4 linked regions of the Saccharomyces cerevisiae S288C genome follow. Changing the gene in region 2 together with the main gene of any one other region gives a genetic interaction. Each region holds a gene or a part of one and is shown on either strand. Other genes may lie near its edges.

Region 1 (10,685 bases), on a different chromosome or scaffold from region 2:
TCCGTCTGTATCATTCTTAGCAAGGCTGGACGAAGTATCATGCTCCTGTGAATGAGAATCTGTAAATTGGATATTATGCTTATTGGGAAATAGGTCATATATTTGGTTGACAGAACTCATATTCCTCAAGGAACTTCCCTATTTTTAAGCAGTTTATAACTTTTTGGCCTCTTATCACACGCCTGTTTCCTTTTTTCCCCTAGAGATGCTTCTATTAGTCTTCAACAGTATATGATTATGATAGGCAATGCATGTGTAAAGTTAATATATCAGAAGACTTTTCCCTGAGAACGTGTATGTATACTCTGTAGGTCTTTTGATATAACTCTGTATTTGCAACCCTGGCTTCACTTTTTGCACAATTATTGAATTTTTCTTCCGCCGAGCTTTAGAGAAAAGGATGGCACGCCGACAGTAATAAGAAATGGGTGATTATCAAATACTTTTCCTAAAGCTATAGAAAAAATGCACATTTCTTTTGTTTATATATTACAAATGCTTTAATCATTATTTACTTTCTTCTTGACAGAATCGATCAAGATCTTCAGCTCTAATATACTATCAGGAATGTCCTCCTTACCTTGATCGGCCCCATCTAGCACAGGAGTAACAGGATTAATTGGTGTTTGACATATTTCTTGATTTCCCAGAATCCTTTCAGAAACGTTATTCAAATATACAGATGTACTCTTCTGGTTTTCGATTAATTGTTGGGACTGTATATCGGTGGTGTTATTCCCGCTAAAACTTGCAGCTGGTATGTTATTACTATGGCTTGGTGTGCTAACGGGTAATACGGTATGTAAACTAGTAACTCTCGAGTTTTTCCTGAATTTCATCGCCAAATGAGATGGTAAAGGTGGTGAAGTAGACGAACCAGAGGTGTTTAATCTAGAAGCTAGAGGAGTTTTAAATTGGCTCGAATGAGAAGTTGACAGGAGTATTGGCAATTTCCTTTTCTTGCTTCTTGGTGATGCATCTATATGCGATTCTAGATGCGCATAGGTGTTCCTTTCGCCTATTTGTTGTTGGTACTTGTTTTTCTCTTTTTCCAGCATTTTCTTCATCTTTTGATCAATGTCCTTTGTAGTTTGTAGTTGAGTGCTACGTGAGTGAATGCCGGCCAATGACCTTTTCTGACGAAGTGTTTTATCATATTTTCCCCTTTCTGTCAACTTGTACACATAAGAATGTGATATTTCAGATAATTTGTCCTCTAAACACTTATGAGGGGATTCTTCGGTGAGATTCATTAAGTCAATGCGTTCAATAACACTACTATAGTTTTTAGATATTCGGTTTAATTTTAGTAAGTGTTTAATGGTACTTTCCGATAAAGTATTTTCTGCGGATTCCCAATAAATAATCAAAAGGGAAAAGCATATATTTGTATTTAGAGAAATACCAGTGATTAGCTTTATCAGTTCTTCACCATCATCTTTCAGTTTCATCTCCAAATCGAATATATCTGGATTCGTAACACCTGTATTAAATATCAATAATTGCAAATCACTAAAATCAGATGGTTCATATTCATCATCAATACAAATTATTCTGCTAGAGATAATATTATTGCTGAACTTTTTTGAATCCTGTGCTGTTTGCAGATTGAACTTACTTAAGATCCAACGGTTTGAGAGTGATGTCCAATCTTTCGCATAAATGAATAAATTTGCCGGAGTAAGAGAATTGGAGGGGAACTTTTTCGTAAGGTTATCATAATAGATTGATTGCATCTCTAACGGCCGCCAAAGTTTTGAAATCTTGGTTAAATGAGTCGCAAACTTATTAAACTCGTCATTTACAGGTGAAAATATTAGATTCTTATCTGAAGATGATAGCATAAATGATGAATTTACGTTACCCTTATACGGGGTTCTAAACAAACATGTAGATTTTTTAAAACCTGGTACTCCTAATTGGTGGCTTACGAGTTTAATTTCTTCCCTTTTTTTTTCTTCTAATATACGGTTCTTCTTTGCTTGAGAATAAGATGCTTGCCATTTCTCAAAGAACTTTTTTTTTAGAGTGGAATTCCTTTTCAATTCAGCACGAGAATCCATATATATCAGATACAACCTTTCATGAAGAAATGCGTCATAAAGTTCACGGGTCATTGTGTCAATGAAGTCCTTCCTATAATTAGCCTCTGAAAATTCACGCTTAACAATACTAATCACGCTACTGTTTACCACTTCTTTTACTAAGTCATTTGCAATTTGTTCAGTGATTACTTGTTTGTCCGCATTTTCTTGCTTCTTTTTCAATTGAGTTTTCTCTTCTTCTATTCGTTGTTCTTCTTTTTTCCTCATTTCTTCTTGCTCTGAACTCAACTTCTCATCATATGCACCATTGCTGGTCGTGGATATCATATGAGCCTTGGAAGCTTCCACCGTAGAATTCTGTGCTGATTGATCAAAAACAAATGGGGAGCCTCCGTCTGTGACGGTTTTAATTTGTTGTTGTTTCTGTTCCGATAGGTCTCCATGAACCTGTGGCGTTAATAAAGGATTTGTTGATAAAGTATGAGATTGAGATATTTGAGGTAATTGCTTAGATTCCTGTGAAAAAGGAAAGTGGTTGGGCCGCGTTGCAACTCTTTTTGGAGAGGTATTGATCTGTGGTTTAACGGATGAGTTTTGGTTCAACTTTTCGTTATAGTTGTTTTGAAAATTTTCCATTAAAAAAGATTGGTCTGCGATAGAAGGTATTCTATCCTTTTTTGGGTCCTTCACATAAACCGAAGAAGCCAAATTATCTTCACCGCCATTAATTAAACCCTTGTAAGTAGTTTTCTGTAATCTCCTTTCTAAGCAGGTAAGGTATGTTTTTTTTAAAGGTTGTGTTTCTGACAATTTGTGAGAATAATGTTGCAATGTTTTCAAATCGGCTGCATCCCCATTTATGATTTCAATTGAGTAATAATTACAAAATTCAATTATTTCTTGCCGATTATTAAAGAGTAACATATTTTCCAAATAAATAAATGGTATTGGTTTATGCTTTTTGTTTAAAGTATGTGATAAAGCTCTTAGCGCATAAAATCTAATATCCGTCAGATGCATTTGCAAAAAAAATCCCATTAATAATGGCAAGCTGGGTGATTGCATTAACTGGAAAAACCTTGCGTAGAAGTTTAAACAATTCTCAGTTTTAACAAACCCGCGTTCAGTATAAGCTGAGTTAGATATAACCCTTCTGAAACATAAAGCCATTTGAACTAATTTATCTTGGAAAATATGTTTTGGTAATCTTTGGATATTCTCATCGTATTGAGGGTCTCTTATTTTACTCAGGAGAGCATAAGCTCGAAATTCAGCCTCATTTGGGCATGTTCCGCCGCTGGAACGAACGTCATCGTATATTTCTGATAACGTGATAAGGGATTTATGCAATTGTTCTAGTTCTTGTTGAAGCGAAAATTCCACATTTGATTTCACCATGATATGCAAGATCAGAAGATGTATCCTAACAATACGCTCATTACAATCTACCGCCTCAGGTCCTGAATAGTTCTGATATGTAAAGTCCTGCCTTATGGATCTCATCCTATCCCATAAGAATCCTTCGCTTTCAGGCAATGTTGTTAATAAGTTATCTACAATATAGTCCAATGTCTTGACTAAAATATGGGGTGGCCTAACATCAGAAGGTAAAGGAGGAGCTGCTGCTGCTGCTGGCCTCGCGAAGACCTTCAATGCTTTAGTTCGAGAAGCTTTTTTATCATTTGGTTGATTTTTTTCATATGAATACACAGTATATTCAACGTTTCTTCTTGATCTCTCGAATGTGGGACACATATCTAAACAGGTACCTTGAAATACTATAGCATCGTAAAGATCCTTTGCTGAGTCAGCTTTATCCACTAGCCCTTTTTCTTCCATTATCGATCGCTCAGTATTTCTCATTTTTTTTAGTGTTTCATACAATTCATTGAGATCATCTATGGATTCTTCCAATGAGATCATTTTTTCTTGATTAGCCTTGTCCCAGGGATCTTGTACAAAAGCTCTTTTCTCCAATTGAGGTTCTTGATTAATCAAAAACCTTGGTAATTCTCTTGCTTTGTGCGATCTCTTCTGAAATCCCAAATTATCAGGAGAGGAAATCAGTGGACCTACAAGTTGAATGGTCTTGGCATCGTTTATCATATATTTTTTCTTTTTATCTGGTTTATTTTCCGTGTAGGAAGGTGAGTGTGAGAGATTTTGTAACGGTTGCTGCGACTTCTTTTGAGAGGTAGAGTGCACCATGAAGACATTTTTCGAAGGTTTCGTTTCATTGCTATTTAAAAAGAAATTGCTGTTGTTAACAGTACTATTGGCACTAGTGTTATCATTATTTCCATGCCCTTTGAAAAAATTGAAATTAGTGGAAGGCACTACTGAGCCAAATGATGTGTTCATTTAAGGGATACCTTCCAAGAGTATTACCTGAAATGAGTACCAACAGTGCTATTGTGAGTGTATCCCAGCTTTGAGATATGTCTGCTGCTTTCCTCTCTCCTTTTTTTTCCCATGTAAATGAGTTGTTTGTATGCATCACTACGCTCTCTGTTTAGCTTTTTTCTTGGGTCAGCGAGAGAATTACCTTTTCTTGAAGTGGAAGAAAAATAATAAAGGCTTGGTATTATACTATTGAAAAGAAAAGAAAAGAAAAAATAATGAACATTGAATCACGAATTCTCGAAACTCAAGAAACTAATAATAAAGATCTACGTTTCAAATTATTATACGTATATTCATACACATATACTTATTTACTTGTTTTGTATTTTTTGTTCGTTCGAAAAAAAAGTAAGATGAAGACATAACTTTGCAATTTTTCCTTAAATCAAGTTTCTTGCTAGTAAGATTTCGGCAATCAAGACACCAGAACCAGCGGCACCAATAATGGTGTTGTGGGAAAGGACAACCATTTTGAAATCTAACAATGGGTCTTCTCTGATTCTACCAACGGAAACACCGTAACCGCTGTCTCTGTTCCTGTCCAACCTTGGTTGAGGTCTGTCTGGTTGTTCCAAAACATGAATAGTTTGCTTTGGAGCAGAATGACAGCCTAATTTGTAGGCATCGCAGACGTATTCTTTTAGGCATGTCTTGACTTGCTCGACGGATGGAGCAGGTCTGTTCTTGAACCTCAAAGAGATACATTCGGTGTGCCCATCGGAAACAGCGACTCTGTTACATTGAGCAGAGACTTTGATTTCTTCTGGAGTCAATAGTTTGACGTGTGTCTTGTCTTCTGCTAATGGAGCCAAGATTTTCTTGGTCTCCCATTCCATCTTGTCTTCTTCACCACCAATGTATGGAATAATATTGTCTAGAATATCAATACCTGGTACACCTGGGGAGAAACCAGCACCTGAGATTGCTTGCAAAGTAGTAGTGGTCAAAGCATCAATAGGACCGAATTTTTCAATCAAAGGCTTCAATGGTGCAACCAAACCTGCAGTGGAACAATTGGAAATACAGATAATGAACCCTGGTCTTGGCTTACCTTGAGCCTTGGCGGTGTCAAGCTTTTGAGCTACAATATCCAAATGCTCAGGATTGACAACAGGAACAATCAATGGCACATCTTGTTCTCTTCTATAATTCTTGGCATTGGAAACAATGGCGATACCAGCTTCCATGAATTCCTTTTCGATAGCGCCAGCATAGTCAGCATCCAATCCGGAAAAGACGATGTCACACTCTTTAAAGAATTCAGATTTACATTCGGAAACAATAATATCGGTAGCAGATTCCGGTAGCAAATCGGTTTGCTTCCAGTTCACAGCGTCAACGTATTTCTTGCCAGCTGATCTAGAAGAGGCACCAAGAACTTTCAGTTCGAAATGAGGGTGATTTGCCAACAACAGAATGAAACGTTGACCAACGGAACCAGTAGCACCCAAAACACCAGCAATTTTCTTTCCAGCCATTTTAGAACGCTTTATTTCTACAATTTAATTTGTATGTGTACTTAAGTGAAAACAAGAAAAACAAGATTTAATTTTATACTCGAAAGTGAATGAACAAATAAATATGGTTCTTTTATTTATTTTTTCTGCTTTTCTATTTTTCTCTAACATTTTGAACTGGTAGTAGTCAGAGGAAAATGAGTCAATCAATGCTTGACAACATGATTTGGAAAAAAAAAAAGTGTGAAAAAAAAGAAAACCGGGTACTTTGAGGCCGCTGCCGGTGATATTTGGATCTGGAAAGAAAGAGAAAAAAAAGCACTGAAGACGTTCAGATGTCAGAATTCTAACTGATATGCATATATTGTAGTATACAGAAGGCGTATGTGAATGGATATGTAGGATTTTGTGTAAAAGGGCAAGGCTGCTGCTACAGGTCTCACTCATCGGCGAATGTAGTTTTCTTGCCGCCGGTGGCACTAACACCTATGCTTGTCTCCTTCTTCTCCGTCGTGGAGACCTGAATGGGCGCGGCGGAAAAGTCTTGGGCGGGTGGCAGACCCTTGAAGTCTCTCTGAATCCTCTTTAATTGCGATATGGAGCTGGAAAGGTTGGTGTCGATGTTGAGGCTGGTGTTAGCCACAGCGGCAGCGTCCGCGTCAGCGGCGTTGCCGCTGATGGTATTCATGGTAGTACTATCAATAATGTTCTCCTTCTCATCGATAAAGCTCTCCAGAAATTGAAGAACCTCGTCAGTAGAGACATGTTGGGGCAGCTGCGTGGCATGAATGACCACAGGCGTGTTTAGCGTGGTAGCAGTGTTATTACCTGTTCTTCTAGAACCTTTCATCATCTTGTATTATCGAAATCTTACCTCAGACGTCTCCAGTTCTGCTCTGCCTTACCGATGAGACCTCTATAATCAATGTGATTTAAACATATGCATCATCTTGAAGTAAGCTCGAAATGAAAAATTTTACACCCGCAATATGCTTACCCGTCGCTGTTAGATGTTACCCGCCTTTCGCCCCTTAGGGGTTTCCACCGCCCCCCTCGTCCTCTACGGTATTTTCTGGGGCGCCCAGCCCGCCACGTCCCGCCTCGTCTCGAATTTCTTCCTCTGCTAGACGGGCTTCCACGCGCTTCCACTCATTTCTGTCTCTGGTAATGGCCGTGGCCCTTCTCACTTTGGTTGGGCTTACGCTGACAAGTGTCTGTTCGATTCCCTGTATAAATATAAACGTATTCTCTTGAGCCTTCTATCCTTTTGCCACTGTCGTCATCATTTGTTCCTCCTTTTTCGCTAGATAGGTTATATTAAGATTTGTCTTGAATTTAATATCTCAACTCAATCCAAACTCAACCGCTAATACTACCATGTCCCAAGTCTATTTTGATGTCGAAGCTGATGGCCAACCAATTGGCCGTGTCGTTTTCAAGTTGTACAACGACATAGTCCCAAAGACTGCAGAAAACTTCAGAGCTCTATGTACCGGTGAAAAGGGATTCGGCTACGCTGGCTCTCCATTCCACAGAGTTATTCCAGACTTCATGTTGCAAGGTGGTGACTTCACTGCTGGTAACGGTACCGGCGGTAAGTCTATCTACGGTGGCAAATTCCCAGATGAAAACTTCAAGAAGCACCACGACAGACCAGGTTTGTTGTCCATGGCCAACGCCGGTCCAAACACCAACGGTTCTCAATTCTTCATCACCACCGTTCCATGCCCATGGTTGGACGGTAAGCATGTTGTCTTTGGTGAAGTTGTTGACGGTTACGACATCGTTAAGAAGGTTGAGTCCTTGGGTTCTCCTTCCGGTGCCACCAAGGCTAGAATTGTTGTTGCCAAGTCCGGTGAATTATAACCGCTCTGCCTGGAACAATACAGCAAAAATTGAAACGAACTATTCTCTCTTAAATTATATGTATATGTATAAGGTATGTGTATGTATGACAATCAATTCTTATAACTAACTCTTCCTACCTATATCGGAGTATGTTGCCAGGCTTGCCAACTAGCCAACTACCGCCTAGGTTATGCCTGTTAAGTTGACGCCGCCGGGTACCGCCCCCTGTTTTTCCCACGTTTCTTTCTTTCCTCTAGGTAACGGATTTTCGGCTTATTTTCCACAGCGAGAAAATTTTCTTTCTCCTGCACTTTTTTTCATATTCAGGTCCTTTGATCCATTCATTCATTCTTGTTTTAATTTCAATCTAGATTTTAGTTTTCGGTTGAATTTATCTTTAGTTTTTTATCAATAAGAATTGGTCTAGCTTATCTTTCCAGGCTGCTTATAGTTTACTTTTTTTAAAAAATTATATTTCTATCCAATATACAAATCGGAAGGGAAATTCATATACACAAATTAAACGTTCCAATTGCATAAATACCAACACCATACAAAATGGACTCATTATCAAAAAAGATTCAAAATTTAGGTATCCATGATATTAGAAATGCCGCAAGGTTTGCCCAAAACGTGATAGTCCAATATGAGCCTTATCAGATAGATATCCGTCGTGCTACAAATACCGATGCTTGGGGCCCCACACCGAAGCACCTCGCCAAGGTTTTAAGGAACAGATACCAAGTGCCGCTCTACTTGATGACAGAATACACGTTGAAAAGATTAGTCGACCATATCGCTACCAGGCCCAAGAACCTATACGAAAAGGCAAGAAAGGACTACGTTAATTATGGGTCCGAATGGAGGGTGGTCTTAAAATGTCTAGTAGTCATTGAATTCCTATTATTGAACGTCGACACAGGTGACGAACTGAATCAGATTAGATCATGTTTGCTCACTCATAAGCATATTTTAACCAGGGAGATTGCCCAATTCAAGGTAAAATTCTCCAATGATGGTAAAATGGAGATTCATGAGAGAGGTATTAGGAAAAAGGGAGAACTTATCTTGCAATACTTGGAAGACTCACAATTTTTGAAAAAGGAAAGAGCCAAGAATAAGAAGAATGCCTTGAAAATTCGACAGCAAGGAGAATCCTCCATTTATAATGCCAACCAGATTTCAACGTCTGCAAGTTACGATAACATCGACGACGATGAATTTGATGCAGATGCAGATGGCTTTGACAGTGAAATGGATGCTAATAATGTGACCAACTTCAATGTTCCTGTGGAAACAGAAGCAAATTCGAATACTCGCAGGCGTTCTCATATGGAAGAACAAAGAAGACAAAGAAGGGAGATATTAAGAGAGCAGATCAAAAATAAAGAACAGCAGAGGAAAAGAAAGCAACAACAAGATAGCATCCCTGACTTAATCGATCTTGACGATAGTACTAGCACCACGAATAATATAACAATAGACAATGGTAATAATGACAACAAAAACAATAATATCAACAGCAATAGTGATGATGATGATGATGAGTTTGGCGACTTCCAAAGCGAAACGAGTCCCGACACAACAGCACCTAAAACTTCCAATAGTAAAATAGATGATTTGCTTGACTGGGATGGCCCAAAGTCAGACACAGATACCACCGCTGCTGCGCAAACATCATTGCCCTTTGCGGAGAAAAAACAGCAAAAAGCCCGTCCTCAGGCTACAAAGGACAAGTCGAAGGGAAATGATGCATTTTCCGACTTATTCTCTTACTCCAAGTCGTTGGTCTAATCACCAAATACCCCTTCATCTCCCAATACATTCAATACAGTCAACAAATTTTCATTCTCAGATATATGTATCCATATATACACTAATAATATCTTACTAAAAACTTGTCTATTTCCTTCTTCAAATGTCAGTTTTCTTTTTATTGAATATCAAAAAAATATTATATAGATACATTTGTATATGTCATTATCCATGCAGAAGAAAATACTTAAATACTTAAGTACACAAGTATTTATTGATTTGCTATTTCGGTCTTGGCAAGTCCCTTGGCTACGTCATCTACACTCGCGTCATCCTCTTCCATATACTCGTCGCCTGTGCCCACCACGCCTTGTTCAAACATTTGCTTACCGGTTAGCTTCCCATGATGAGCCTTCATCCTTCTCACCTGGTCTCTTTCATCCAGTTTCAGTTCTTGGCGAAATTTAGACCTCCATTCCAAGTACGATTCTCTTGTGACTTTAGTACCATGGAACTTGGCCTGTTCCTTCTTTTCACGTTCTTGTGCTTCCAGCTCGTACTGCTTCTCGAGCTTATTCAATTGTTCACTATACCATTGCTCACATCTTTCTTTTATGGATGAAATCAATGCAAAACACATTTGCATACCCAATAACATATCGGTTTCGATTTGCGATTCTAATTGTACGGTTAATTCAGGCAAGTACCCCTTAAAGCTTATTAAATCTGGCAGGTTTTCAAACTTTTTCAGTACTTTATTACCATGGTCGTCATATTCAACCTCGTCTTCATCTTCCTCGTTATCTTCTTCGTTGTCATTGAGGGCTACTTCTTGAGCTTCCAATGAAATCAGGCATGGTTCGTCAGGGTAGTTTTCTGGTAACTTGAATTCGGCGATTATAGTGTGCTCTTTGGTTAAAACAGAAGTAGAATCACCTGTATCCAGCTCTAATTTAATGGCTACTTCAAATTTAATCTTTGGGTATTCATCGTTTATGATCCTCAGTTCATCAGGATAAATGGACTCTAAAACTTCTAGTTCCTGCTTCTGTTCTTCCTTATAATCCATAGTATTAACAAGTGCCTTCTGGATATGGAGGGAGGGCTTTTCCTTAAATTATACCAACCGACAGCATGGGAAACTCAGCTCTTTAAAGCCAATCTAACGATGCCTGCT
Region 2 (6,694 bases):
AACTTCGGTTCATAGTGATATCTAGTAACATAGGGGTCTACTGGGATCTTGCCCAATGCCACGGGTAAAGTTTTGTTTGTCCTGTCAACGCCGGATATAGCTAATATAGTAGAACTCTCACCATTAGCAAATTTCGTCTCTCCTGAAATAATGTCCATCATCAATTTACCCATTTGTAAATCCAGGGAATATATTTGTTTATTCTCTGTATTTCTGTACGCAGAATATGCAGTAGTTAACACTTTTGAAAAATTATCCACTGTAAACATGATTGGCACCTTGGATTGGACAGATAACTCATCAATAATGGCTTTCATTAGTTTTCCACGATTATGCGGGTGGGTCATTACGGATAACAAATCTAAAACTGTATTTTTCGTTTTGTTTAATGTGACAAATGGTTTTACAGAGGCATTCTTTGGGTTTGCATTCGAGAACTTGTAGTCTTTGGATAGCTCAATAGATTTTAACAATGCAGGGTCATTTGCCTTCAATATTTTCCTTATAAGCTTTTTCAAATACATCGGTTGGATGAAAAGCTTTAAATCATCATCATAAGAAAAGTCATTCCTACCGTTCAGGAATAATTCAGGATATGATATGTTAATAATGATTTGCTTGGAATCAACTGCATATGCATGCGCTTGAGAGAGTAGTACAGTTTTCCCGACCCCTGGCTCTCCAGTGATTATAAATTTTTTAACAGGATGAGATACTAGTTTCTTCAAAAAGCTATTCGTTGCATCTTCACGAACTAGACAAACCGGTTTTTGAAAAAGTTCATTGAACTGCGACTTCTTGAAGGAACCCAAATGGTGAAGGGATTTGTACTGTTTGTTGGAATATGATACTACTTTATTCAAAGTCTTGGAAATATCATCAAAGTTGAAGATAGGTAATGCCAAAGGAACGGCGGTCTGTTGTAATTGAGCGGTGTGCGTGGTGTTTGTCCAGTTTTTATACAATGAACCAGGAGTAACTCTCTTTGCAGATGAGTAAGATGAGACTGAAGATGATTTTTTGGAAAATCCTTGAGTTTTACCTTTTGGTGCCGGTTTAGCAGCCTGGAGAGATCGTGCCGTAGTGAACAGCCTTTGCCCAATGAATCTTGAAGTTGACATACGTAGCATTATTCTGATACGTATACCACGTGGCTTGTACTTGTTCTCTTGTTAATGTTTTCCCTCGAAGTATAGAAGTTGATGTATATATACAATATACATATATATATATTCTTGTACATAGTACTTGCTGAGTTTCCTTTTCTTTTTCTTCCGTTTTGTAAGAAAGCCCCGGAAAATATAGTGTTCCATAGGATAAAGAAAAACAGGCATACATATGTGCAAGCTAGTCGAGTAGGATAGGTTCATTAGAGACCAGTCTTGCAATATCGTCATTCAGTTCCGTCTCCAAATTAAAATCAGAGTAGTAATGTAGCGGGATCAAGGGCGAAATATCCTTGACCGTGGGTATGAGGTTCCCACTTGACCAGTTTCGGAATACGTGCTGCGCTGTGATGGGAGTATCGAATACAGTATATATGATGATTGAATCATCCTTCGAGTAGTTGTTTCTTTCAGAGAAGTAGATGTCGTAGATTTCATTAGCACTTAGCGTGATGAATACTTGATTGCGCAAATGAGATAAGCAGTTTGATTTATTATTTGATTGCAGGAAGTTGTCAAGGACAATTCTCAAAGTAGAGCAATCGTAATACGGATGTTGCGAAGCATTTTCTTGGTCTTGTGTGTTGAGATGTTTCCAGTCACCATAGGGCAAGTTGAAATGTTTTAGTTTCCTGAGTAGCTCGCCGTGGCGTTGGATTTGCAATAAATCAGGATGTGGTGTGGTGGTGGGTATCGTACTCGATTCAGATTCTTCCAGCTTTTGTATAAGTTTATTTCTTTCAATGTCGTTTGTTTTCCGTAGGAACTCAATTAACCAGCGGTCGTAATGGGGTCTCACGTCTGCATTGGTGAGGATATTAGTTGCGGTCGATAATAAGTGGAATTTGTGTATAATTGATGGATTGTCCGGGTGTTTGTCAGGATGATACTTCAGGGCAAGGGTCCTGTATTTGCGTTTAATTTGGGGCAAATCATCGTAGATGGTATGGACGTCCAGGGGGGTCGGTAATTCTAATACATCATATAGGTTCAAACGTTGATTTATTACGTCTTCCAATTCGTGTCCTGGCATAGTCGTGGCGAGGCTTGTAGTACGGCGATGGACTTGCTTTTTGATTTTGCTTTCATCTTCTAATGTCTTGCGAGATAATATGCAAGGAAAACAAAGGAAAGAAAATACAAAGTAATGCGGCTTGCATATATATATACATATATATATGTATATATGTGATATATATATGTGTGTGTGTGTATATATATTCATGAGTGTATAAAATAGATATATGAATGCGTGCGAATGTAGTTATAATTAGGTGTGTTCAGTTGGCCCATCTTTCTACCATTTCATTCATCCATTGCGGGCCTTGTAATTGAATGATCTTGGGCAGCTCGTCTAGCCCTTCCAGCAGGCCATCTTCATTAACGATCGCCGACTCCATGAACCCGTTCAACAGCTTTAAAATGAAGAGACAGTTTGGATACACAATGCATTGCGAATAAGGGGGGTTGCACCAGTACTCCAGGTATTTCAAGTAGTTTTTGAAGTTAGGAGACTTCCAGATCTGCTGTTGAGTGAGTAAGTACGTTACGTATTGGATGTTTGCCAGTGACTGGATAAATTCGAGCTCCACTTCGAACCTCGTGGGGAGAGGATTTTGATCCGAGGAAGGTGTCGCTGGTGCGTTTCCATTAGTGCTTGACATCCTGGGTGGAGCTTGGGGGAACTTTGCCGTCTTATGAGTGCTATAAGTTTTGGCTTACTTTGCCTCATTTTTCCTGCATTTCTTTTTCTTTTTCATCCTTTAAGAACACGTTAGCGGGAAAACCGTGAAATAAAATACAAAACGAACTGTTCGAAAAAAGCCAAAGGGGAAACGCCTAAAACTCCACTGAAACCAGCTATAAAGCACGGCATATTACAACAATGTCTAGCAAATGGTTTAATGCTATACACCTACTGGTGTGCCCGTTGACGGTACTGGTAGGATATCTCATGAACGCGTATGGCTACGGTGCGGCGCTGCAAGCAACCCTGAATAAGGATGGTCTGGTAAATGCTATGTTGGTAAAGAAAGGGTGGTTTTGGACTTCCTTGGTCGGATGGTGGTGTATTATACGCTACCGTGCGGTGCCGGGGGCAACCGGCAGAGACCGAAGACACATTGTCCAGTCATTCAAAAGGTATGCCATACTGACAGTGTGGTGGTACGTATTCACGCAAGGTATATGGTTTGGCGTAGGCCCCATCATGGACTTGGTATTCGTATATACGGGTGGCCATTGTCACTATGACGTCTTCGATGATGCAGGTCACGTGAACGAAGACTTCCAGGGTTCTGTCACCCGGACTAATCGCGCGTTGGCGCTCATTCACAATGTCCTCACTTTGCACGGACACCACCAAGAACACCGTCAGCAACAACTCTGGGACCGCTCCATAGGGTCGATCCAGGGCGCCCTGCAGGCGACGCAACCGAAAACCCCAAAAAACGTAACGGCCAGCGCTGCCGCTGCCATCAATACTTTTATTCATGACCAGATGCACAGGTGGCAAGGTCCGTTAACCACCTCGGCACAGTGCAGACGTTTTGGAGGCCATTGGGCTGGAGGACACGATCCATCCGGGCACGTGTTCTTGGCCACCTTGATGTGCATGTTTCTTCTAGGTGAGCTACGTGTGTTTGGGCGTCGTGCACTGGCTCACTTGTACGCGCAGAAATGGCAGCTTGTACGATTGGTGACCCGCCTTTTCGACACTGGACCGCTATGGACGTGGCGGCGGTGTGGCGGCGGCTCAATGACCTGTGGCGCCCGTTTGTGGCGTGCGATAGTCGAGCCGCCTGTCACGTGCGCGGCCGCCCTGCTCCGTTTGACGCGATGCATAGCATGCGACCACCCAGTAATCATACTGCTGACGCTATTGGTCACGTGGTTATGGCAGCTGCTGTTGACTGCGGTGGCGTCCCGTTTCCACACCGTACGTGAGCACATGTCTGGATTGCTAGCTGCGTACATAGTGACAGGCCTTGTCTACGCTCGCGACGCAGCCGCGCTACGTCCAGTATGACTCAGGAAAAGTTGGCGATAGACCACGAGCGACTGAAAAAATAACAGCGACTTTTCTCCCGGTAGCGGGCCGTCGTTTAGTCATTCTATCCCTCGGATTATAGACTGTGAATATTGCATATGCAACTTTGACTCAAATTTTTCCAAAATTTGATATATATATATATATATATATGTTTGTATGTATATATATATATACGTATATATATCATATATACGAAAAGTAGAAAAAAAAAGGTGATATTTCGCTCGTGGAAAAGCTAATGCCACAGCTTGTGTTTCGTGTAGTTTGCCTTGCTCCCCTTGATTGAAATAGTCTCCCTAAACTAAAGTTATCAGCAAACAGAACCACCACAGTTACTACTACAACCACATCGCAATATGAAGATCACAGAAAAATTAGAGCAACATAGACAGACCTCTGGCAAGCCCACTTACTCATTCGAGTACTTCGTCCCGAAGACTACACAAGGTGTACAGAACCTGTATGACCGGATGGACCGGATGTACGAGGCTTCTTTGCCCCAATTTATTGACATCACCTGGAATGCAGGCGGTGGACGGTTGTCACATCTGTCCACGGACTTGGTTGCGACAGCGCAGTCTGTGCTTGGTTTGGAAACGTGCATGCACCTTACCTGCACCAATATGCCCATTTCGATGATTGACGACGCTTTAGAAAACGCTTATCACTCCGGTTGCCAGAACATCCTAGCGCTGAGAGGAGATCCTCCTAGGGACGCAGAAAACTGGACTCCCGTTGAAGGTGGCTTCCAGTATGCCAAGGACTTGATTAAGTATATCAAGTCCAAGTACGGTGACCATTTCGCTATCGGCGTTGCCGGCTACCCGGAGTGCCATCCGGAGTTGCCTAACAAAGACGTGAAGCTTGATCTCGAGTATTTGAAGCAGAAGATCGACGCCGGCGGCGACTTCATCATCACTCAGATGTTTTACGATGTTGATAATTTCATCAACTGGTGTTCCCAAGTTAGAGCTGCGGGCATGGACGTGCCCATTATTCCCGGGATCATGCCGATCACTACCTACGCGGCCTTCTTGAGAAGGGCCCAATGGGGCCAAATCTCCATCCCTCAACATTTCTCGTCCCGATTGGATCCTATCAAGGACGATGACGAGTTGGTCCGTGATATCGGAACTAACTTGATCGTGGAAATGTGTCAAAAATTGCTCGACAGTGGTTACGTTTCTCACTTGCACATCTACACCATGAACTTGGAAAAAGCGCCTCTCATGATTCTGGAAAGATTGAACATTCTACCTACGGAATCAGAGTTCAATGCACATCCATTGGCCGTGTTGCCATGGAGAAAATCTTTGAATCCAAAGCGTAAAAACGAGGAAGTCAGACCTATCTTCTGGAAGAGAAGACCTTACTCCTATGTCGCAAGAACCTCTCAATGGGCCGTGGACGAATTCCCCAACGGTAGATTCGGTGATTCGTCTTCTCCTGCGTTCGGTGACTTGGATCTGTGTGGTTCAGACTTGATCAGGCAATCAGCGAACAAATGTCTCGAATTATGGTCCACCCCTACTTCCATCAACGACGTCGCCTTCTTGGTCATCAACTACTTGAATGGAAACTTGAAGTGTTTACCTTGGAGTGATATCCCCATCAATGATGAAATAAATCCAATCAAAGCACACTTGATTGAGCTGAACCAGCATTCTATCATCACTATAAACTCTCAACCTCAAGTCAACGGCATTAGGTCCAATGACAAAATTCATGGTTGGGGACCCAAGGATGGTTACGTTTACCAGAAGCAATATTTGGAATTTATGTTGCCCAAGACTAAGTTGCCCAAGTTGATTGACACCTTGAAAAACAATGAGTTCTTGACCTACTTCGCCATCGACTCTCAAGGTGACCTGCTAAGTAATCATCCAGACAACTCCAAGTCCAACGCTGTGACTTGGGGTATTTTCCCCGGCAGAGAAATTCTTCAACCTACCATTGTCGAGAAAATTTCGTTCTTAGCGTGGAAGGAGGAGTTCTATCATATCTTGAATGAATGGAAACTAAACATGAATAAATACGATAAACCGCATAGTGCCCAATTCATTCAGTCCTTGATTGACGATTACTGCTTGGTCAATATTGTTGACAATGACTACATTTCTCCAGATGATCAAATCCATTCCATCCTACTAAGCCTATAATAACACAGACAACGATAACAGTTCTTTAACAGAATTGTCAACCCCCCCTCTTTGCATTACATTCAACATTACATTGCATTTTTTTTTTTTTATTCACTATTATTATGGTTCTTCTTTTTTACCAGATTTTGCTCCTTCCTTTTCCATTGTTTTACCATTCTTTTTTAACTAGCATTTCAACATGTGTTTGGTTAACACCCCTTCTTTTTTTTCAGGAAAATCCTTTCATTTCTTCTCATACTTTCAACAAAGTTTTTTAAAGGTACTTTAAAATAGTTCAACACCCTCTTCCTTCATTTATTTATTCTCTTCATATT
Region 3 (5,735 bases), on a different chromosome or scaffold from region 2:
TAATTTCAAAAAATAATACGACACCAGCAGGATTTGAACCAGCGCGGGCAGAGCCCAACAGATTTCAAGTCTGTCGCCTTAACCACTCGGCCATAGTGCCCAAAATAATCTGGTAGTGTTAGAAAACGGAAGGTATTAAAAACATCTGACTAAAATTAATTTCCTTATATTGATGATGAGTGTTTCACTAGCAGAAGTAATTCTAGCTAGGGACACTAAGAGTGTTGGAATGAATATTATATATTATTTTTTGACTATTATTCATATTACTGTTACATATTGTCATATACGATGCAAGAAGATGACATAAAGATTGGGAAGTAGTCGCCAAATTTTTTATTGAAGTTAAAGTGTAATGATTGGAACTTCTAGCATATTCTGTATATATAATATTATCGACTATGGAATCCCAACAATTTTACAAAATTCTCCAGATCTCAAGAAAGTATAAAAGATATGGTAATATCATTATGTAAAATTATTGATTCCCTTTTAGGGATGCCTATGCCCTCGAGAAGTGCTAGAATATTTTGCCTGTCTAAAATTATAACCTCTATCAATAATGGATCCTCAAAAACTATCCCGTTATTCACCTATTTCTTAATCCAAGGGAAGTTGGACAACCATTAGATGTGATCCGCTAGGAAAGAGATATAAACTGCTTTTAATTGGCTATGAAAAGCTGTCCGTACATTTATTAACTGCGGGAGTACATTTGCTATTTCAGGCCTCATGGAGAAAATAGTACATTTTGTTCCCTATTGAAAAATACAGAGAAAGAAATATTGAAGTGTTGTTAAAAAACATGTAATAAACGCACCTATGGCATACTGAACTTAATTTTAATCGAGGTTAAGCTATAGCGTTTCATTCTCTGATGTCTTCTCATCGGTAGAAGGTCTATCATTCTTTTCTAGTGGGCCGTTATGTAAATAATACTCTTTGAATAAATTAGCCGTCATGTAATGGATAAATGCACCAATGAATCGCATTGGTATGATAAGCCCTAAATAATCTCTCTTGCCTGGATCCTTCGTTCCAGGAACGCTTATACCCCGACGACTCATTTCTGTCATAAAAGAGGCCAGTTGAATTATTAAGTTAGAAGTGGTTAGAGAAACGTATAATAGGAAAAAATATAACCAATTCTTATATTTGAACCAATTGGGGGATCTTATTCTTGTATTGCAGCGAGAGCATCTTATCTTCGTACATCTTGGAGGCAGTAGATTAATCTTATGTCTATATCCTCTTTCCATCCACACAGCAAACCCCCAAATAGAAACGATCGCTGAATATGCTACGAACCAGCCCACAGTATTATCAAATGTCAAAAGTTTAAATGGGGGAAAGGGTACAAATGAATATGCAAACATTTTTCCGATGAAAATTAATCGCATTACTTTCATAGTAAGTCTGACGGCTAACGGCGGCAATACATCATCATTACTACGAGCAGGAATATTGCTTTTGTCTTCTGTGCCGTTTTGCATAATTCCGTTGCCAATCGTCTTGGAACTGGAAACATTTAATAAATGCACTTAAAACAGAAAGGGCCTTTTTTATATATTAAATTTTTGACTGCCAAAAAAATTTCCAGTTTCTACTCTCTTTTTTACTGAAGTAGCAAGCGGCCTGCTGATTTATTTTCTAGACAGTACACTTACAGCTGCCCCGGGATCTTGATACATAAATACGCTGCAGCAAGAAAACGCAGAATGGAAAAAAATATATATATGCAGTAATAATATCGACCTCCTCCTACCTACCTATCTACCTATCTAGCGTGTTAGTGGTTCTTGTTTTAACCTTTTTCCTACATTTTTAGTATTTCTCACAATGATAGAGATGTCCTTGATTATATATATTGGCAAATGACCGGTAAATGGCTCAGTTCGCAAGCTCATTTATTCTAACGTTTATCTTTTTTAGAATATAGGCCACACTAAACAAACTCAGTCATATGAGGTATGAAAAGCATGCACCTTGCACTAGAAGGTGTACGTAAACCTAAACTCCATCGAGTGTACGGTCCACAATGTGTATTTGAGCCACTCCGTACCTCCTTAGCTAACGATATCCTGAAATTTTTCAATAAATTTACTCCAGCATTTTACATCATCATACAAGTTACATTCTGAAATAGTGTCGAGAATGATATGATCTTCACTTACAATTAGTTGTAAGACCGACGATTCAGGTTTACTAGGCTTAGAACTGACGTCTTTCATTTCTATGTCTGCGTCATCCGCTGTTGCAGTACCATAATTTTGACTAGTGCCTTGCAGTACACCATGATCTTCCATCACAATATCAGTTCCTGCATTTTCTTGATTCGAAACAGAGGCGGTGAATCCGAGGTCATTGGCACCATCCATAGTTGTAGAGTGCTCTTTGATGCTGTCTCCATTTTCCTCCTCTATTGCGGGTTCAGATAAAATTTCGTGCAAATTAAATTGCTGTAAACCCTCTTCTTTAAGCATCATTGCTTCAGTTATACTGGGACGTTTGCTTTTATTAGTTGAAGAACGCCTTCTTCTAGAGGCCTCTACTACACTTCCATGTCTGTTACTTCTTGGAATTGGCTCAGTGTTAGATGTTGAAGAATTTTTGTCTTTAGTCGAGGTGGAGAATGGAGCTTGATAGTCAGGTTCAAGTTCCGATGAATTTGAATTTGAACTAGGTGTGGAGACCAGTTTAAAAACATTTTGAAGTACTATCCTCGACCATTGAACCCATTTTAGTATCTCAGAGATTAGATCTAGATTGTCATTACTTATGTCAAATTTTTTAATATTGATTAATTTTGTTGTAAAATCGTTCATCAGTTGTATTCTACTATTGTAGTTATTGTTCGAAAATAAATCAATTATAGGTGGCGAAGAAGATGAGTTTGATGAACATGTAACTTTATCTATAATAAGTTCCGGTGATATGAAATCCTCAGGAAACCAAATTAAGTCTGTATAGTTACTTTCCTTAGCGTTTGCTACTATTTCCATAACCAAGGAAATGCCGTTAGAAAAATTCTCAGCAGATTCATTTATCCAAGATTTGGTTTCTTGTGAATATATGTACTCATAGAACCTGTATTGTGAATCGCTTTTGTTTTCTTCTAAATAAATTTTGGCTAAAGGCACTTCCTTACCATTGATGCCCTGGGTTAAAATATATATTCCAAATTTATCATTCAAATTGGTCCTGACTTTAAAGTCGCAACAATTGTCTTGGAAACATTGTCTTATATAGTGTGATAGTTCCGTGAAATACTTAAAAAGATCAAGTTTACCTTGGTTGTTAAATGATGCGTTGCTTGAATCTAAGCTTTTGTCAGAAGACCCATTATTATGGGAGGTAGAATCGGACTCGATGTGGGAATATGCATCTAACAGATATAGAAACTTCAAATTGTTATGAAAAGCTTTCAAATCAGGATACTTTGTTAAGGAATTTAGAAGAATGTTGCTTTTTTCATGCTCTCCATCTCGTTGGTTAAAGTAGTCAAAATTATCAAAATTAGATGCTAGTACGAGTTTAACGTCCTGAATTCTGTCTTGCTTCTTATTGTAGTCAACATCTATCACGATAATTTTAGATGCCGTCGATAATCTTGAAAGTTCATTACTCAATTCTTCTGTGAAGGACTCGAGACCCAAAGTTTGACAAAGTCGTGTTATATTCTCCAAAGTTATGGAACCAGGTTTGTAATCCTTGAATAATTCAATCATGGAGTCTAAAGTCTCCACATAAGAGTCTCCTTCTACCATCTCCAAAAGAGTTTTGTTGGCTTTTGTTCTATGTTTTCTTTGCTTTTGATTAGGAGTTCTTTTTCAAACACAAACGTTCCTTAATAGGTAACCTTCATTTTAAGTTTTGAAAAATTAATTAGTTGCAATTACATCCTGACAAAAAAAATGTTGCAAGATTTCGCAAAAAGTACATTTGCAATTTTTAAAACATCAAATACCTACTCGTAAGTACAGGATTAAGACAATATACAAACGCGATTCTCTACACCAATATTCTGCACCTGCATGATTTCAGGAACTCCTCATTTCTTTGCTTGAGAAAAAAAATTTTTTCACCTTTCATTTTTTTCTCTAAAAATGCTATTGGCATGAGATAAGGAATAGCTGTGATATAAAACTGACTTAGTAATTTAGTATCTTGTACGCTTCACATAGTAGTTCAGTCAAGAAGAGCAAACACTAATAAGCAATAAATCTAATGGCACAAGAAATCACTCACCCAACTATTGTAGACGGCTGGTTCAGAGAAATTTCTGATACCATGTGGCCAGGCCAGGCCATGACTTTAAAAGTGGAGAAAGTTTTACACCATGAGAAGTCAAAATATCAAGACGTTTTGATCTTCAAATCCACTACATATGGTAATGTTCTAGTTTTAGATAATGTAATTCAAGCCACCGAAAGGGATGAATTTGCCTACCAAGAAATGATTGCCCATCTTGCCTTGAATTCCCATCCAAATCCTAAGAAGGTTCTTGTTATTGGTGGGGGTGATGGTGGTGTTTTGAGAGAGGTTGTCAAGCATGATTCCGTTGAGGAAGCCTGGTTATGTGACATTGATGAAGCTGTTATTAGACTATCAAAGGAGTACCTACCAGAAATGGCTGCCTCTTATTCTCACCCAAAGGTTAAGACCCACATTGGTGATGGTTTCCAATTTTTAAGAGATTACCAAAACACATTTGACGTAATCATTACTGACTCTTCTGACCCAGAAGGTCCAGCTGAAACCCTTTTCCAAAAGGAATATTTCCAATTGTTGAACAGTGCGTTGACAGAAAAGGGTGTAATCACTACACAAGCAGAAAGTATGTGGATTCACTTGCCAATCATTAAGGACTTAAAGAAAGCCTGTTCTGAAGTTTTCCCAGTTGCAGAATACTCTTTCGTTACTATTCCAACTTACCCAACTGGTACGATTGGTTTTATGGTTTGCTCCAAAGATAAAACTTGCAATGTCAAGAAGCCACTACGTGAAATCTCTGATGAGAAGGAGGCTGAATTATACAGATACTATAACAAGAAAATTCACGAAGCTTCCTTTGTTCTACCAACCTGGGCAGCCAAGGAATTAAATTAGGGAGAATATACATATATATGCATATGTTTGTTTAGCTAAATAATTTTATTGAGCTTTGCTTGGGAAATTTCTTCATATTACTACTTATAATAAAATAGAATATGAAAAAAACTAAAAAATTAATAAAGAAACAAAAAGTAAAAAAAAGGTGTATGTACTGTAATATGAATTAATAAACACCTGTCCATTTTAGAAAAACGCTATGTCGAAATTGGTCATATCAACGTCAATATTTCAGTCTCAAGTAGCAGATTTACTCCCATGTAACAATCATCAAAAATCGCAGCTGACATATTCCCTAATAAACGCGTACGATCTTCTCCAGCACTTTGACGAAGTGCTAACATTTCCCTACGCCAGAAAGGATGATCTGCTGGAGTTCCATTCGAAATCATATATCGATTATTTGATAAATGGCAGATTCAATAAAATGATGGCACAAGATGTAAATAATCCCATGGTAGAGTCCAAATGGAGTGAGTTGAGTGAATTGGCCGATAATTGGAACGAAAAAATCGACTACAATCCATCGCAAGATCTTCAGAGATTCACCACTAGAGAGAATCTCTATAATTATTATCTGAATCACTCACAAGCGCTCGAAAATAATATGGACTGTATTAATA
Region 4 (7,334 bases), on a different chromosome or scaffold from region 2:
CCCTGCTCTTGACACTGTTTGCGAGCCAACAAAAGCCACAGAAAAACATAAGAAAAGAATGACCGTGGCATATGTAAATTCGTGCCAATGCCCTCTTGGTAGTAGCTCTCCCAAAGCTGCAGGTGGCTCGCCTTGAGCAGAATAACCCAAGTTATAGAGTAAAGGTTCGATAATACCCACTGCGTTCATACCTGCATTGAACACCTGCCCTAAGAAAAAGACAAGCCCAATGGATCCACCAAATTCAGGTCCTAAACTTCTTGAAATCATATAATAAGCACCCCCGCCCCTAACAGTCCCGTTTGTAGATATAGCAGATATACTTAACGTGGTGAGAAGATTAATAGTGTAACTCAATAGCAGAAGACCGATGGTGCATATAATACCTAACTGACCCAAAATGAAGCCAAAACGAAGAAACATAAGGATAGACAATACGTTTAAAGCAGTAGGCACAAATACCCCATCGTATGTTCCCAACTTATCTTTGTTTGGGTTATCAGGATCATACTTAGAGGAAACTTTTTGGCATTCAGGGGTCGCCTGATAATTGAAATATGTTTGACTTATTCTCCTTGCAGACAACAGTGAAGAAGATTCATTTGAAGAAGATATTGCCGACGATGGCCGATGCGTACCTGGAATCTGATAAAACCTACTAACCATTAATCCTACAAGAAAGGCCTATTCTTAAAGAGAATTGGCTGGCAAAAACACTGTCTCTATCACTTCTTCGACAACAAGCACAACCATTTCTTAGATTTCCTTGTTACTCTTTAACAACAATGTTGATAATGAATCCTACGTTATCAGTTGCACAATTATCAAAATCTTCTTGTCACCCGCCCGCGCCTTGCCTATAATGAAAAAGGGTCAAATAAGAGCAATCTTGATCGAGAAAGCTTCCAGATTAGAAACAAAGAAAAATAGGAAAAATAAGCCGAAGTAAACGTATATTAGTTGAGAGTCTCCTAATGTCATTTTCCAATTCTAAAGACAAGTCCGTTGTTGCCGTCTACAAGCTGGTCAAAGCGCCAATCTACTCTCATTGCTTTTCTCAAGATAAATCTATTTTAGCCGTTACATGCGAAACAGATTGTCTTGTCTATAGAGTTTCAAACAACACACCTCCCGTTTTATTCGCAACGTTGAAAGATCATGATAAAACCATTACTGCTGTGGACATTTCCATACATGGTCGTATTGTGACTTGCTCCCAAGACCGTAATGCTTACGTTTGGGAGCCATTGAGTGATGGGACATACAAGCCCACGTTAGTACTTCTTCGTATTAACAGAGCAGCTACTTCAGTTACATGGGCACCAAATGGTTATAAGTTTGCTGTTGGGTCCAGTGCTAGAATCATCGCTGTTTGTTATTACGAACACGAGAATAATTGGTGGGTATCCAAGCACATCAAGAAACCCATCAAATCTACCATCAATTGCCTGTCTTGGCATGCAAATGGAGTCCTATTAGCTGCTGGTGGTACTGATGGGTTTATGCGTGTGTTCAGCGGGTTTATCAAGGGTTTGGATTCCAAGGAATCCGTCGCCGGATCACCCTGGGGCCAGAAATTCCCTTTTGGTTGTTTAATCAGGGAGTGGTATCAGGGTTCTTATATCCATGATGTGGAATGGAGAAGTCAGATGGAAAGAATTGCTTATGTAGCGCATGATGGTACTTTGAATGTTGTCGATTACCAATCTCCAGTGCAATCTGTCAATGCTCCGGAAGGTTTACCTTACAGGTCCTTAGTATGGATAAACGACCACGAGATTGTTTGTGGAGGATACTCTTGTCATCCGGTATTGTTCAGCGAAGCCTCTGAAGGCTGGAAATTTGCGAAGAATCTAGACAAATCAGACAATAACAAGTCTTCTGCCTTAACTGCATCTGGTAATACAGACGAGCTGAGTGGTAATAATGATGAAAGTTCAACTTTCGGTATTTCCGCATTGAGAAAGTTTAAAGAATTAGACTTGAAAGGTAAAGTTAGCACAGATGTCCAAGAAAGTGCACATGAAAACGCCATTGTGGAATTAAGACCTTTTGCGGAATCCAACGGCCAAATCACACAAGTCTCTTCCTGTGGGTTAGACGGTAAGATCGTCATTTATACAATTTAAATATACATACGTATATATATATATTGTTATGTGTATTCCCTACCTCATAATACACCTTGAGTTTGTATTGTTTTTTTCTTCACTTGGCATATACAGACTATATTATTACAACTCACAGCACAATGTAGTGTACCGTAAAAAATAAAGCATCAGAATCAATTTCTTGCACCAAACCATTATTTAGAATTGCTACCCAAAGACTCCTGTTCTTGCTTTCTTTGCAAGATAAGCGAGTACACGCTACCTTTTAGCAGTGTCCCAACTAAACCAATTTTGACCTCTATGTCCCTCATCTCCTGTAGTATCTCATCTGGCGATACAGTTTCTTGCTGTGAATGCTGTTGCCTGTGTTGCGAATAGTTTAGTTCTTTTATAGTTTCATCCAGAGCTTTTAGATCTAAAGAAAGCTGTTTGTATTTGTCCAATACTTCTTGCTGTAAAGGTGAAAGATTGTGTTCCATACTGTGACTACAACGCCGTGTATGTTTCACAGCGACTTTGACTGGCTACTGTAAGCTCTTCTTTTGTATTCTTTGGAATAGTTTATTTACATGTAATTACTGTAATAGCGCGCAGCCGAGCTAAAAAAAAAAAAAATACAAAGCTTTTGATCAATTTGTTACAAAGAGAAATAATTCCGCGTACGTATTTCTATTGATATTTATATATCTACATTCATTCAATTTATTACCTTTTCTTTTATTTTTTTTGCCTTTTGTAGTTTCTGTATTTTTATTTTCTATGTGTTTTTATTGACTAGCAGTATATTTAGAGGGGCGACCTTCTTTTACGTTCAGCATTTGATCTATCAATTTCAATTTTATTGCTAATCAACATAATAGCAGCTTGGGACGCCATGAACGTACCTCTTATGGTAAGTCTTCTCTCCGAAGAGCCTTCTACAGGATCTTGTATAATAATTGAACAACCTGTGGATTCCTTGACCGAATTTATGTGCTTGCCATCTTTGCCAATGACATTTCCGACAAATTTCTCATCTATGAATATCTCTTGTTGTACAAAGTTCATTAATAAATGGTTGCCGGGTGCCGGACTGATAACAGGGCCGTCTAAGACTGTCACATTAGGGATAACGAAGTTCGGTTGAAAGGCCGTTGCGTTTGCAACGCTAGCAGTAGTATACTGCGGTGTGGCCATACTCAACAAAGTAGATGATATTGGTAAATTTTTGTTGGGTTTGTATGAAAGTAGTTTATCGCTTGGATGATATTGGTGGTTTCTTTGATGGAAAATGGTGTTCGGTTGGCTATGGTCTATTAATACTGAGTTAAACTGAGTTGGCTGATAGTATATGGACCTTTTCACATTTTTCTGCGGAGATTCCATCTGAAAGTTTAGCAATGTTTGACTAATGTAGAAAGTAGCAATATGGATAGCATCCGGAACCCCGTTAATGGTTAAAATTCTATCGTTAGAAAGCAGCAATTGATTCGGGGACGCGAATAATTTTGCTGCACTCAAATCCTCAATTTCTCTTAACCGAGACCCACGTTTGCCAATTATACATCCCATAAGATGATGAGGGATCAATAGGTTGATAGAAATCTCAATGTCTTCCCCGTTATCTTCGTTACCATGTTCTTCAAGCAGCGCTCTTACTATCATGCCGTATGCCTTGGCTACATCATCGCAAGTACCCCTCACGTAAACAATTCTTTCAGGAACACCTCTGATATTATTTGATATGTTTATTCTAGCAGAGGTTTCGGATTTTATTCTAGATATAGTGGCGCCCTTGTGTCCTACTATCAGTGAAGCGTGTTTGACTAAGCACAGCATTCGTAAATGTACATCAGAGGGAACATTGTCGGGGGAATCGTGGTCGTTGTCAGAGTGGCTGTCTGCATCCTTCAGGGCCACGCGTTTGATTTCTGCTTCCAGTTGTTCCTCGCTGGTGTCTTCACCCTTTTTCCTTTTGAGCGTGTTGGGAGAAACGAGTACAGTAGTTGGTGTAGTAGTGATTGATGGTTTTGTAGTCTCTGTGGACATAATTGAGCTAAAGAGTATTACAGAAAGATTATTTAATGCCGCGCTGGACGATTAAAATTGTTAGAGTGGATGTGGCTATGGATAAGTTTGAATATGAAAAAGGTTACTTATGCGGCTAACGACTAGGTGCGTATTTATCGTTTGACGAGTATGTACGTGTTTTCTTTTGTATCATGATATTTCGTGTAAGTACCATATCGGGGAAAGACAAAAAAAAGTGAATTAAAGAGCGAAGTTTAAAGATGATGAATAGGATTAATCGACAAGTAAGAAAAAAGACGAAAAGGCGTAAACTGGAATAATATTGTTTCAAGAAAGAAAACCCACTAGCCTATAAATGCCAGAAGTAGAGACAAAGATTATACCAAACGAAAAGGAGGACGAGGACGAGGACGGCTACATAGAAGAGGAGGACGAGGACTTCCAGCCTGAAAAAGATAAATTAGGTGGTGGTAGCGACGATAGTGATGCCAGCGATGGCGGTGACGACTATGATGACGGTGTGAACAGAGATAAGGGTAGAAATAAAGTGGACTATTCGCGTATAGAGAGCGAGAGCGGCGGACTGATCAAGACTAGAAGAGCTCGGCAAGCTGAGGAAGAATATGCGAAAACACATAAGTATGAATCGTTAACTGTTGAATCGATCCCTGCAAAAGTAAACAGCATCTGGGAGGAGCTACAGGAAGCTAGTAAGAACCGTCTTTTGAGCAGTTCAGGGAAAGTCGGCTCTGTTCTCGACGGTTCCAAGGAGGCTAGGTCGACAACGGCCGCGCAACAGGAGGACAAAATCCTCATCGAAAGAAACTACAAGTTTGCTGGTGAAACTGTCCATGAGAAAAAATGGGTTTCACGCAGCAGTGCGGAGGGTCAAGAATATCTAAACAGTTTGAAATTTAAGCAGCAGGCGCCTGCTGCTCCTGTTCAACTGGAAAAAGCAGTTAGGACCAAGTCCAATGAAAGCCGGCAACACTTGCGACGGCCACTGAAAAGGCCTCCATTGTTGGAGCAGATCATTTCTGGCGGGCTACGACCCAAGCTAACGACATTAGAAAAATCTCAGCTGGACTGGGCTAGTTATGTAGACCGTGCTGGACTTAACGACGAATTGGTGCTGCACAACAAGGATGGGTTCTTGGCCCGGCAAGAATTTCTGCAGCGGGTCGGGTCTGCAGAGGACGAGAGATACAAAGAATTGCGCCGGCAACAACTTGCTCAGCAGTTGCAGCAGGATAGCGAAGCTTCATAGACAAATATTACATGTATTAAATAACATGCTTTTCTGCTCAAATTTTTTTAACCGCCGAGGCCTGCACACTTTCACTACGTGTATAACGATGCTGCAGACAAAGTAATGGGGTGTATGGGTGTGGGTGGCAAAAAAAACCTAGCAACGCTCTATGTTTCTTTTCTTTTTTCTTTCTTTTTTTTTTTTTGCCGTTTCCGATGGGCCACTCGGTGAAAACATATAAAAAGGGCTCTACATTCATTTTTTCATCGATGAGTACTTTACTTGTTATCAGATTTATTCATTTTGTTTCTACTTGTTTTTTTTTTAAATCCCCACGAATCTCTTTGCCTTTTGGCTTAGATCAAGTGTAGTATCTGTTCTTTTCAGTGTAACAACTGAAATGACCTCAATGAGGCTCATTACCTTTTAATTTGTTACAATACACATTTTTTGGCACCCAAAATAATAAAATGGACGGGAAGAGACTTTTTAAGCAAGTTGTTTTCCGCTAATGTCAGGTCTCACTACTTTTTGCTGCTATTTTTCTTCGCTCATGGTTTCTTCATAAGGCGTTTTTATGATGGTTTTTCGAAATTGGTTTTTGAGACGACGGTTGCTCAAGGTTATTGTTTTTGTTTTCTTCTGGTTGTTTTCTATTTTCTTTTTTTTAGCTTTCTGTTTCTCCCTTAGTTTGGCTTTTTGCTTCATACTCTTCCCTGTCTTTCCGAGCCGTTTATGTCCAACGCGGGATTTGGTTTTTCTTTATCGATGGGAAGAAATGGTGCTATAGTAGGTTGGGAGATAATATTTATGGTATGGGGTGCTAGTGCGGATGGGGCGCTCTTATTGTTGATTTCTTCGCTCGTCTTCTTTTTCTGGTGGCGCTGCAAGAGGAAGTTTTTCGACTTTGTTATGATTTTTGGTTTGCAAGGAAAGGTGTCTTACGATTCTTTTTTTGATGTAATAGGATAAGCTTGCTTATCCCCCAAGTATCGGCCAAAGTTGTTGATTTTCCTTTTGAAGTGTCCTCGGTTTGAGGGGGTGTAGGGTGGGGTTGGTCTACAATAAGAGTGTTCCATTGTTAACGTGCTGGCGTCTTTTACTATATTTTTTTTCCCAGTTTATTTTGTGCTTATTTTCTCATTGAGGAGAAGGAGCTCTTCTCGCAGGATATAAATGGAGGTTTGCTAAAGGGGAGGAGATGTGTTTGTGAGAATACTGCTGAGAGAGTTCTGGAAGAGAAAAAAAGGAGGCAATGGAAGGCGTTTGCTGGGAAAAGAGAAGAGCCATGACTGCATCTGTTGTTTCAAGGCCAGTTTTATTAACCGCCTATGTCATAGAGGCGTTTTTTTTGGAGGGATTTGAAGAATGCCGGCGGCATCAAGAAACGGACTTGATGGTTGACGCCTGTTTTTAAAGTTAGAGACGTCGCGACCCTCGCACTTGTGGAGTCGTTCTTGACTTTTACTTTGGTCGCTTGATGTTTCTCTCGTCTTCCCGTTCGCTCTTTTATTTTTTTATTTTTTTTTTCCTTTGACTTCGCATGAATGAGTTCATTCATGAAGCGAAAGGAGAGATTCTATATACCACGCAACCAAATATGTAAGTATATAAAATATATGTATGTGTGTGCACTAATTGGCGGCATACTCTTTCTTGACCCGTTGTGATAGGGCCTTAGCTGCTTCCCATTGCCTGTCCCGAGTCCAGCGACTCAAGACGTTGGACGTGCGCACGTACTCACACATGGCCGAATTGGCCCTTACGAATGAGCTCTTGGCTACCCCTCTTGCTGCACTCGCCACACACCATAACTGGTATAATTCGTTTCTCATGCTAGTCTCTTTTTTTTTTTTTACTTGTTTCCTTTTCCTTTGTTGCTTATCCGCTTTCTCGTTCTCTCCTCTGTTCTTGCCTCAACTCCTCAAATCTCTGCTGTCCCACTTACGTTTTATTTTTTCACC

Evidence for each region.
Region 1: mutations in SOH1 (region 2) and SAC3 together harm fitness more than expected from each alone (negative genetic interaction), as found in Saccharomyces cerevisiae (6 studies listed by BioGRID, with this or other methods).
Region 3: mutations in SOH1 (region 2) and MED1 together harm fitness more than expected from each alone (negative genetic interaction), as found in Saccharomyces cerevisiae (5 studies listed by BioGRID).
Region 4: mutations in SOH1 (region 2) and SWC5 together harm fitness more than expected from each alone (negative genetic interaction), as found in Saccharomyces cerevisiae (5 studies listed by BioGRID, with this or other methods).

The regions. Positions count from the first base shown.
Region 1 is NC_001136.10:765,598-776,282, reverse strand, and holds SAC3 (Sac3p), read right to left. Parts: upstream 4,407-10,685; coding exon 501-4,406; downstream 1-500. Other genes in the region: SSY1 (Ssy1p), read right to left, coding at 1-120; HOM2 (aspartate-semialdehyde dehydrogenase), read right to left, coding at 4,829-5,926; YDR157W (uncharacterized protein), read right to left, coding at 5,951-6,352; DNA-directed RNA polymerase I subunit RPA14, read right to left, coding at 6,345-6,758; peptidylprolyl isomerase CPR1, read left to right, coding at 7,283-7,771; ENT5 (Ent5p), read left to right, coding at 8,312-9,547; GIR2 (Gir2p), read right to left, coding at 9,780-10,577.
Region 2 is NC_001139.9:267,946-274,639, forward strand, and holds SOH1 (mediator complex subunit SOH1), read right to left. Parts: upstream 2,831-6,694; coding exon 2,447-2,830; downstream 1-2,446. Other genes in the region: mitochondrial 37S ribosomal protein mS29 RSM23, read right to left, coding at 1-1,130; U2-type spliceosomal complex subunit CWC23, read right to left, coding at 1,348-2,199; SCS3 (Scs3p), read left to right, coding at 3,052-4,194; methylenetetrahydrofolate reductase (NAD(P)H) MET13, read left to right, coding at 4,575-6,377. UniProt on the Saccharomyces cerevisiae protein: Component of the Mediator complex, a coactivator involved in the regulated transcription of nearly all RNA polymerase II-dependent genes.
Region 3 is NC_001148.4:683,930-689,664, reverse strand, and holds MED1 (Med1p), read right to left. Parts: upstream 3,768-5,735; coding exon 2,067-3,767; downstream 1-2,066. Other genes in the region: YPR071W (uncharacterized protein), read right to left, coding at 858-1,493; SPE3 (spermidine synthase), read left to right, coding at 4,228-5,109; HOS1 (histone deacetylase), read left to right, coding at 5,312-5,735. UniProt on the Saccharomyces cerevisiae protein: Component of the Mediator complex, a coactivator involved in the regulated transcription of nearly all RNA polymerase II-dependent genes.
Region 4 is NC_001134.8:680,233-687,566, reverse strand, and holds SWC5 (Swc5p), read left to right. Parts: upstream 1-4,476; coding exon 4,477-5,388; downstream 5,389-7,334. Other genes in the region: VHC1 (Vhc1p), read right to left, coding at 1-666; ARC40 (Arc40p), read left to right, coding at 975-2,129; DAD3 (Dad3p), read right to left, coding at 2,306-2,590; telomere maintenance protein PBP2, read right to left, coding at 2,898-4,139; COQ21 (Coq21p), read right to left, coding at 7,005-7,205. UniProt on the Saccharomyces cerevisiae protein: Component of the SWR1 complex which mediates the ATP-dependent exchange of histone H2A for the H2A variant HZT1 leading to transcriptional regulation of selected genes by chromatin remodeling. Involved in chromosome stability.